Linked DNA regions of Saccharomyces cerevisiae S288C. Each later gene encodes a partner of the first gene's protein in a complex. Each region holds a gene or a part of one and is shown in the gene's direction. Other genes may lie near its edges.

Evidence for each region. Proteins that work in one complex are often made in the same cells at the same time.
Region 2: DNF3 (region 1) and YNR048W share a complex: the UniProt entries of both Saccharomyces cerevisiae proteins name them as parts of the flippase complex.

What each region holds. Positions count from the first base shown.
Region 1 is NC_001145.3:578,311-585,757, reverse strand, and holds DNF3 (aminophospholipid-translocating P4-type ATPase DNF3), read left to right. Parts: upstream 1-1,836; coding exon 1,837-6,807; downstream 6,808-7,447. Other genes in the region: INP2 (Inp2p), read left to right, coding at 1-1,487; type I HSP40 co-chaperone HLJ1, read right to left, coding at 7,366-7,447. UniProt on the Saccharomyces cerevisiae protein: Catalytic component of a P4-ATPase flippase complex which catalyzes the hydrolysis of ATP coupled to the transport of phosphatidylcholine and small amounts of phosphatidylethanolamine from the lumen to the cytosolic leaflet of the trans-Golgi network and ensures the maintenance of asymmetric distribution of phospholipids.
Region 2 is NC_001146.8:709,671-713,480, forward strand, and holds YNR048W (putative aminophospholipid translocase regulatory protein), read left to right. Parts: upstream 1-1,959; coding exon 1,960-3,141; downstream 3,142-3,810. Other genes in the region: serine/threonine protein kinase FPK1, read left to right, coding at 1-1,534; MSO1 (Mso1p), read right to left, coding at 3,353-3,810. UniProt on the Saccharomyces cerevisiae protein: Accessory component of a P4-ATPase flippase complex which catalyzes the hydrolysis of ATP coupled to the transport of phosphatidylcholine and small amounts of phosphatidylethanolamine from the lumen to the cytosolic leaflet of the trans-Golgi network and ensures the maintenance of asymmetric distribution of phospholipids.

The sequences.
Region 1 (7,447 bases):
AAAATAGTCCAGGTCTGAAGAGAGTTGTAATTTTAATACTCGTAGCAGTGTATTTATCAATTCAGCAAGAATACTTTCGAAGACATTTGATTTGCTATAAAACCTTATTAAAGGTACGGAAAGTGCTCGAATCATTACAACAAGTGGATGTAATGATTCATAAATATCATCTTCGATTTAAAGAAATAAAAAATCATAGTTTTATATCAAGAGTGTCTCTTATTTCAATTGCTGACGAGCACTCATCTGTGATAAAAGAGCTCCTAGTATTCTCAAGTGATGCACTGTTTTATAAACTCAAATCAATCATTCCAGATATTGTCATCTTTAGCGATACAAGTGAGCTATCGAAATACTGTGAATTATACGGTATCGATGTACCAAATCTTTACTATAATAATACTACCACAGTAAAAGACCTTGATGGTAAGCTTTATCGTCTCAAACTGCTAAAGAAATTTATGCTCTGTTGTTTGCTGTCTTTAGATATGACAGGAAACGAAAATCTTTCAAATGTAAACATGAGAAACGCACTAAACAAAATCTTTCCAGATTACATGGCAAGGGTGCAACTCAAAAAAAAATATAATCCAATAGGTACATTCCAAAATATAGTTAGTCTATTAAGAGGATTACATTCACTACTCTCCACTGTCCTGGTGTCTTTGAATGACCATAAGCAAATATTGTATGCATTTCCTGAAGAAACATCAACTAATACTGGTTGTGAAAGAGCAAATGTATGTTCATTTTCAAAGAATGATAAATTGTTTCAGGCACTTAATTACTTAAAAATGATCGAGAACAATCTATTAGCTATTGACATTCGAAATGGCATAACAGAGAATGATAGGAACATCATTGAGGATAAGTTGGAGGAGCTCATTACTTTCTGGAAAACCTCGAAAATTTGTGGCAATATTTCTAGGATACAAAAGGTATCCCCAACCAATACAATCAACCATGGTTTCCATCTGGATATCCTCAAAGGCAGAAAGTCACCCCGTTCTTCGTCAGTACAAGGTCTTAGCTTAGAGAGGAAAGTTGACTTCATTGATGTTGCTGAATCGGTGAATGACTCTTTTGAAAACGACACCGAACTAGAGGAATATGAAGACTACGACTGTCAGGAGGAATGTTCTGCCGGTTCACGCCAAAATCACCGCGTAGATTTTATCGGAAAGGATAGTTGTAGGAAACCAGATTTCAAGCAACTTTCTGACAACGAATTACGACGCAAGTTAGATGAAAGAATTTTGAAATTGGCTCAAGAAAACCGTGAAGGCAGGGAAAGGCTAAGAACTGCAAAGTCCTTTGAATTGCTAAGAAAAGCTCAGGCTTCCATGTCCGTAAAGTTTGGCTTTCAAAAACCATTAAGAGACGATGCCTTTCTTGAGAGCAGGCCTCTCAGCAAATGCAAAGTATCTTCGGAAGAAACTATCCCATTTTTGTATGAATTAAAAGGATTACTAGGAAATGATTCATGATAATATATTTTAATATGTACTTTGAAATAACTAATTACACTTTAATCATATTTTCTAAATAAGCAAATGACGGGCTGCGCAGCCGGGTTATTTTCGACCCCAGTCTGTCAAGTGCTTTAAGTAAGCGAATATTTAACAAAGAAGAATTCAATATTGCAGGAAGTCTTGAGAAAAGATCAAGTGCCAAATTACCCCATTGCTTTTGGACTATTCATTCACTCTTTTCTTTTTTGTTATTTCTTTTATTTGACCTTTATCGTTATATACACATAGCTTCCATACAGCAAATAAACATCCTAATTGAAGTAGATAATTTAATTCCATTCTTTATTAAAAAGAAAAAAATATTATGGGCATAGCTGATGGGCAAAGAAGAAGATCTTCATCACTACGAACGCAGATGTTCAACAAGCATTTGTATGATAAATATCGCGGAAGAACTGATGATGAGATAGAGTTAGAAGATATAAATGAGAGTAAGACGTTCTCCGGTAGCGATAATAACGATAAAGATGACAGAGATGAAACAAGCGGCAATTATGCTGCTGAAGAGGATTATGAAATGGAAGAGTATGGTAGTCCTGATGTGTCATATAGCATTATCACTAAAATACTTGATACTATCCTAGATCGAAGGAGGACGTTCCATTCGAAAGACGGTAGACATATTCCGATTATATTAGATCATAATGCAATTGAATACAAACAAGCTGCTACTAAAAGGGATGGTCATTTGATAGACGAAAGGTTCAACAAGCCTTACTGCGACAACCGAATAACTTCATCAAGATATACATTCTATTCCTTTTTGCCTAGACAGTTGTATGCACAATTTTCAAAGTTAGCCAATACTTATTTTTTCATTGTCGCAGTATTACAAATGATACCTGGATGGTCTACAACTGGTACTTATACAACTATTATCCCCTTATGTGTATTTATGGGTATATCCATGACAAGAGAGGCTTGGGACGATTTCAGGAGACATCGTTTAGATAAGGAAGAGAACAATAAACCAGTGGGAGTGTTGGTTAAAGATGGAAATAATGACGCACAAGAAGTTTATACACTACCAAGTAGTGTTGTCTCATCCACTGCATATCTAACTAAATCGGCCGCTGCTGAAAATAATCCACCTTTAAACGATGATCGGAACTCCTCTCAAGGACACTTCTTAGACACGCACTTCAATAACTTTGAACTACTCAAGAATAAATACAATGTTCATATTCATCAAAAGAAGTGGGAAAAACTTCGTGTTGGAGACTTCGTACTTCTCACACAAGATGATTGGGTACCTGCAGATCTGCTTTTATTGACATGTGACGGCGAAAATAGCGAATGTTTCGTTGAAACGATGGCTTTAGATGGCGAAACAAATTTGAAAAGTAAACAACCCCATCCAGAATTAAATAAGTTAACCAAAGCCGCATCAGGTCTTGCAAATATTAATGCTCAAGTTACCGTGGAAGATCCCAATATTGATTTATATAATTTTGAAGGTAATCTTGAATTGAAAAACCATCGCAATGATACCATAATGAAATACCCTCTAGGTCCTGATAATGTCATTTATCGTGGTAGTATTTTGAGGAATACTCAAAATGTTGTTGGTATGGTCATTTTCAGTGGTGAGGAAACAAAAATCAGAATGAATGCTTTAAAAAACCCAAGAACGAAAGCCCCTAAGCTACAAAGGAAGATAAATATGATTATCGTGTTTATGGTGTTTGTCGTTGCCACAATATCTTTATTTTCTTATCTTGGCCATGTTTTGCATAAGAAAAAATATATCGACCAGAACAAAGCATGGTATCTATTTCAGGCAGATGCTGGCGTAGCACCCACAATAATGTCTTTTATCATCATGTATAACACTGTGATTCCTTTGTCCCTATATGTAACAATGGAAATTATCAAGGTAGTCCAAAGTAAAATGATGGAATGGGACATAGACATGTACCATGCAGAAACGAACACGCCATGCGAATCGAGAACTGCCACCATTCTGGAGGAATTGGGGCAAGTATCTTATATTTTTAGTGATAAAACCGGAACGCTGACGGATAATAAGATGATATTTCGGAAATTTTCTTTATGTGGATCATCTTGGCTGCATAATGTAGATCTCGGTAATTCTGAGGATAACTTTGAAGACAACAGAGACAATACGAACTCCTTGAGACTACCACCAAAAGCTCACAACGGCTCTAGTATAGACGTTGTTTCCATTGGAGATCAAAATGTTCTTGATCGGTTAGGATTTTCGGACGCACCAATTGAAAAAGGGCATCGTCCATCTTTGGACAACTTTCCTAAATCTAGGAATTCTATTGAATATAAGGGAAATTCATCAGCAATTTATACAGGCCGTCCCAGTATGAGATCACTTTTTGGGAAAGATAATTCACATCTAAGTAAACAAGCTTCGGTTATTTCACCCTCCGAGACATTTTCGGAGAACATTAAAAGTTCGTTTGATTTAATTCAGTTTATTCAAAGATATCCGACCGCCCTGTTTTCTCAAAAGGCTAAATTTTTCTTCTTATCATTAGCTCTTTGTCATAGCTGTCTTCCCAAAAAAACTCATAACGAATCAATAGGAGAAGACTCCATAGAGTATCAGTCTTCATCTCCAGATGAATTAGCACTAGTAACCGCTGCTAGAGACCTTGGTTATATTGTATTGAATAGAAATGCACAGATTTTGACCATTAAAACTTTTCCAGACGGTTTTGACGGTGAAGCAAAATTGGAAAATTATGAAATTTTGAACTATATTGACTTCAATTCTCAAAGAAAGAGAATGTCTGTTCTTGTACGTATGCCAAATCAACCAAATCAAGTTCTTTTAATTTGCAAAGGTGCTGATAACGTTATTATGGAGCGTTTACATGATCGCGAATTGGCTGCCAAAAAAATGGCAGACATATGCACCAGTACCAAAGAACGTAAAGACGCAGAAGCAGAGCTGGTTCTCCAGCAAAGAAAGTCTCTGGAAAGAATGGTAGATGAAGAGGCTATGGCCAGGACCTCATTGAGAAATTCTTTGTCTAGCGTACCGAGAGCAAGTTTATCATTGCAGGCAGTGAGAAAAAGTCTTTCAATGAAGAACAGCAGGACCCGTGATCCAGAGAAACAAATTGACTCCATTGATCAATTTCTAGAAACGGTCAAGAAATCTGATCAGGAGATTGGCAGCGTTGTAAATAAAAGCAGGAAGTCACTCCATAAGCAACAAATAGAAAAATATGGGCCGCGAATTTCGATAGATGGAACACATTTTCCGAACAACAATGTCCCAATAGACACAAGAAAAGAAGGACTACAGCATGATTACGATACAGAAATTTTGGAGCACATTGGAAGCGATGAGTTAATTTTGAATGAAGAGTATGTTATTGAAAGAACTTTGCAAGCCATCGATGAGTTTTCGACTGAAGGCTTAAGAACTCTGGTCTATGCTTACAAATGGATCGATATTGGGCAGTATGAAAATTGGAATAAACGCTATCACCAAGCCAAAACCTCCCTTACTGATAGAAAAATCAAAGTCGATGAGGCAGGTGCAGAAATCGAGGATGGTTTAAATCTGTTAGGGGTAACTGCAATCGAAGACAAGTTACAAGACGGCGTTTCAGAAGCTATAGAAAAGATCAGAAGAGCCGGTATAAAAATGTGGATGCTAACAGGGGATAAAAGGGAAACGGCTATAAATATAGGGTATTCGTGTATGTTAATCAAAGATTATTCTACGGTAGTCATTTTAACTACTACTGATGAAAATATTATATCAAAGATGAATGCGGTTTCTCAAGAAGTTGATTCCGGAAACATAGCACACTGCGTTGTTGTAATTGACGGTGCCACGATGGCCATGTTTGAAGGAAATCCTACATACATGTCTGTATTTGTTGAGCTTTGCACTAAAACAGACTCGGTAATATGTTGCCGTGCTTCACCTTCTCAAAAAGCCCTTATGGTTTCCAACATAAGAAATACCGATCCAAACTTAGTCACGTTGGCAATAGGTGATGGTGCGAATGATATTGCCATGATACAATCTGCCGATATAGGTGTTGGAATAGCCGGTAAGGAGGGATTGCAAGCATCTAGAGTATCTGATTATTCTATTGGCCAATTTCGGTTTCTCTTGAAATTGTTATTTGTTCATGGGCGTTATAACTATATTCGCACCTCCAAGTTTATGCTTTGCACGTTTTACAAAGAAATTACGTTTTACTTTACGCAGTTGATATATCAAAGATATACAATGTTTTCAGGCTCCTCTCTATATGAGCCATGGTCATTGTCCATGTTCAATACTCTATTCACATCACTACCGGTTCTATGTATTGGTATGTTTGAGAAAGACTTGAAACCAATGACTCTACTAACAGTCCCTGAATTATATTCGTACGGGCGCCTTTCACAAGGTTTTAATTGGTTAATATTCATGGAGTGGGTTATCTTGGCAACTACGAATTCTCTTATCATTACATTTTTAAATGTTGTAATGTGGGGTATGAGTTCTCTTTCAGATAACACTATGTATCCTCTAGGTCTCATCAATTTCACAGCCATTGTTGCCTTAATTAACGTTAAATCCCAATTTGTTGAAATGCACAATAGGAATTGGCTGGCTTTTACTTCTGTAGTTCTATCCTGTGGAGGTTGGTTAGTGTGGTGTTGTGCCCTTCCTATTTTGAATAATACTGACCAAATATATGATGTAGCATATGGCTTTTACAATCATTTTGGTAAAGACATTACATTCTGGTGTACTAGCTTGGTGTTGGCACTGTTACCTATCACTTTAGATATAGTTTACAAAACATTCAAAGTTATGATATGGCCATCAGATTCTGATATTTTTGCTGAGCTGGAACAAAAAAGTGATATCAGAAAGAAGCTGGAACTAGGAGCCTATAGCGAAATGAGGCAAGGATGGACGTGGGATAAAGATCCCAGTACTTTCACAAGGTACACAGACAAAGTTCTTTCAAGGCCAAGAACTAATTCACGTGCAAGTGCAAAAACTCATAACAGCAGCATATATTCAATGTCAAATGGGAATGTAGACCATTCCTCAAAAAAAAATTTCTTTGGAAACTCTTCTAAAAAGAGCTCTGAACGATACGAGGTATTACCTAGTGGCAAGTTAATCAAGCGACCATCCTTGAAAACACAAAGCAGTAAAGACAGTATTGGCGGCAATATAACTACTAAACTGACGAAGAAACTGAAGCTTCCATCGAGGAATGTGGAAGATGAAGATGTGAACCAGATTATTCAGGCAAGGCTAAAGGATCTGGAGTAATTCTCGTGATCTTGTTTAATTACATTATTGAGAACATTTTTATATATATACCTTTTATTGGAAATTAGTAGCGAGCTTAGAAGACTTACTTGATTTGTTGAGTCGAATATTATTTCGGCATCCACACATTAGAAAATTAACAAGATGTATTTTGAGAGAAAGCAAGGCACAACGCATGGGAAATCTTCACAAATTTTAAATACTATCTATAAACTAACTCTAATTATAAAAGTGGCTTGATTACTTTCGGTGTCAAAAGAAAAAGTAAATGTATGGCGTAAATGCTATGATTAGTTATCAGAAAATAAAGATGTTTATAAGTATTATACTGTCTGATTTAATTTCCTCGATATATTAAAATTCTAATACCATTATGTCCTTCTGGTAAACTGTGGAACAAAATAAAACATAGCCAGGAAGCCTGAAGGAATGACCTAAATGTCATCTAGTATACAAATGCGTTTTTTCAATTTTGCTTGCTCCTTGTAGTTTTATTTTATAGTACAACTTTGACTAACGTTGGAAAATAATAAAAAAATGACAGTAAAAATATTGTGTTTAACTAAACAGGTAATCTTTAATCATAGGAAGAACAATAAAGATGATGAAAAGAACGAGCATATTTTTTAATTGCGAATTC
Region 2 (3,810 bases), on another chromosome or scaffold:
AACCGACAATAAAACGAGAAATCTTTCACCTACCAAACAAAATGGTAAAGCTACCCATCCAAGGATAAAAATACCTTTAAGAAGAGCAGCTTCAGAACCAAACGGGTTGCAACTCGCATCTGCCACATCGCCGACATCTTCTTCAGCAAGGAAAACATCAGGGTCCAGTAATATAAACGACAAAATCCCAGGCCAATCAGTGCCTCCTCCAAACTCATTTTTCCCTCAAGAACCCTCTCCAAAGATTTCTGATTTTCCAGAACCTAGGAGGTCCCGACGTTTGAGAACTAAATCTTTCAGCAATAAATTTCAAGATATCATGGTGGGACCACAGTCTTTTGAGAAAATAAGATTGCTGGGCCAAGGTGATGTAGGTAAAGTTTTCTTAGTAAGAGAGAAAAAGACGAATAGAGTGTATGCTTTGAAAGTCTTGAGTAAAGACGAAATGATAAAAAGAAATAAAATCAAACGTGTTCTGACAGAACAAGAGATTCTTGCCACCAGCAATCATCCCTTCATCGTCACACTATACCATTCGTTCCAATCTGAAGACTATTTGTATCTCTGTATGGAATACTGTATGGGCGGGGAGTTTTTCAGAGCTTTACAAACAAGGAAAACCAAATGTATATGTGAAGACGATGCCAGGTTTTATGCCAGTGAAGTGACAGCAGCACTAGAATATTTACATCTGTTGGGTTTTATCTATAGAGATTTAAAACCAGAGAATATTTTGCTGCATCAATCAGGCCATATCATGCTTTCTGACTTCGACTTGTCTATTCAGGCTAAAGATTCCAAGGTTCCTGTTGTCAAGGGTTCCGCTCAATCAACCCTTGTTGATACCAAAATATGCTCAGATGGGTTTAGAACCAATTCCTTTGTCGGAACTGAAGAATATATTGCCCCTGAAGTCATAAGAGGTAATGGCCACACCGCTGCGGTCGATTGGTGGACGCTAGGGATTTTGATCTATGAAATGTTATTTGGTTTCACTCCATTCAAAGGCGATAACACAAATGAAACTTTTACGAATATTTTGAAAAATGAGGTCAGTTTTCCCAATAACAATGAAATCTCCAGAACTTGTAAGGATTTGATCAAAAAATTACTGACAAAAAATGAATCTAAAAGACTGGGTTGCAAAATGGGCGCTGCCGACGTGAAGAAACACCCCTTTTTCAAGAAAGTCCAATGGTCTTTGCTGAGAAATCAAGAACCGCCTCTGATACCAGTGTTATCTGAGGATGGATATGATTTTGCTAAATTATCATCTAATAAGAAGAGACAGACTAGTCAAGACAGCCATAAACATCTCGATGAGCAAGAGAAAAATATGTTTGAAGAACGAGTTGAATACGACGATGAAGTCTCTGAAGATGATCCATTCCATGACTTCAATTCAATGAGTTTGATGGAACAGGATAACAATTCAATGATTTATGGTAATACCAATTCTTATGGGAAAATTGCATACACTCCAAACTCCAACAGATCGAGGAGTAATAGTCATCGAACCTTTTTTAAGAGATAAAGGGGGCTTTGACGTATAAGTGTCGGTATTTTTTTTTTTTTTATTGATTTTTTTTTCACTCTTATTTTTTCCCTCATTTATTCATCATACATTTAACGAACTCTATTTCTTTTCAAAATCCTTATCTACCTATTTTTTTTTCTTTATTTTCTTTCCTCTGTCAGTTAGTCAGTAGTGTGTAACTTAAATAAATCATATATCGGTGTTTCAATTTCTAGCATTCTGTGTAAACATCAGATGAAGCATTGCCTTTCTTTTCAATGAACTCTATGTAGTTTTTTCGATTTGCTTGCGTACTATTTTTCACGCGATAGTTGAAGAAACGATAGAAGGATGGCGCAATATACAAGTTAAAAGCAAATAGATATCTAATCAATAGTTAACATCTAGAATAAAGTGCTGGAACTTAGATTTTTTTGTGCAATATGGGACTGATATTAAGGTGGAAAGAGAAAAAACAGTTGTCTAGTAAGCAAAATGCTCAAAAATCCAGGAAACCGGCAAACACATCGTTTAGACAACAGCGCCTCAAAGCCTGGCAGCCCATCTTGTCGCCACAGAGCGTACTGCCGTTGCTTATTTTGATGGCATGCGTCTTCGCACCCATTGGTATAGGGCTGGTGGTCAGCACGATAAGTGTCCAAAGACTAGTGGTAAACTACACAGAATGTGATGCATTGGCACCGGCGAAGCATTTTGAAACGATTCCCTCCGAGTACGTGGACTACCACTTCAGTAAGAAAGTCGCAGTCCAACCTCAATGGATGGTACTTACGGATCCTGAATTAGGCAATCAAACTTGTCGAATACAGTTCGAAGTTCCAAATCATATCAAGAAATCTACTTATGTTTATTACCGCCTAACAAATTTCAATCAAAACTATAGAGAATATGTGCAATCTCTTGACCTAGACCAATTAAAAGGAAAAGCATTGATCGGAAATGATCTGGATCCAAACTGTGACCCTTTAAGGACGGTAGAAAATAAGACCATATTCCCCTGTGGATTGATAGCAAATTCGATGTTCAATGATACATTCGGCACAACACTTACTGGTGTAAACGATACTGCAGATTATTTGCTTACCACAAAAGGTATTGCGTGGGACACCGACAGCCACAGATATGGAAAGACCGAATACAATGCATCCGATATCGTACCGCCCCCAAATTGGGCCAAGTTATTTCCCAATGGCTACACTGACGATAACATTCCAGACCTACAAAACTGGGAACAGTTCAAAATATGGATGAGAACTGCTGCATTGCCCAACTTCTATAAGCTAGCAATGAAAAATGAGACCAATGGGTTAGGTAAGGGTATTTACATTGCTGATATAGAACTCAACTACCCAGTAAGATCTTTCTATGGAACAAAATCTTTTGTATTAACCACAAACAGTATTATCGGTGCTGGAAACGAGGCATTAGGGATTGTTTATTTGATTGTTGCCGGGATTGCAACTCTTTTCGCCATACTATTCCTGATAAAAGTCATCTTCAAACCAAGACCTATGCATGATCATAGCTACCTAAATTTTGAGAACAGCGATACCCCATTCGATGAGAGTAGTGTCGTTAGTATTCCATTGAGAGAAATTTTATGATTGATTATCATTTACTATAAAATCCCTGCGTTTGATTCGGTCTCTAGGGAAGCGTTGTAATTTCATGTATATTCAAAATAAGGACGAGGTTATATACCATACTATATTATCTCCTTGCATTCTGTATCAAACACTTTATTCAGTACATATACGATACCTATATATTCATTAAATGTTCTTTTCGCTTTATTTCAGCAAGGTATAGTGCTATTTAAAATCCATAATCGTTATTGCGTCTCTTTAGTCTGTCCTTCATTGCCATTACTCCACTACTTGCGTCTGGTGGCGGCGTTGGCGTGCTGGAGGTGTTGAAACTGTTCGACGTTTTACTTCGACCGAGACTTGCCCTGAATTCTTGGCCTGCTGAAGGTCTAGTCGGCCGTGATGAAGCTCTTCTCGGTGTCGCGCTAGAGGAGCTTGTATGATTATTGTATATATCTTGAAACGATTTACTCGCAGGCGTGTACTCCGGTGTGTTCCCGTTTGAAGAAGGTGTACCCATAGGATCTTCTGAAGAAGCCTTCCTTCTGTTAGAAAAGGATGGCGAGAAATGACGCGAGTTTTGCTTCTTCATATCATGCTTCACTTGAGTATCTAATATTTTACGTTCGTTCGGTAAATCTTCCTTCTCCCCCAACCATCCTGGGAACCCCTGGAAAGGATGCTGAT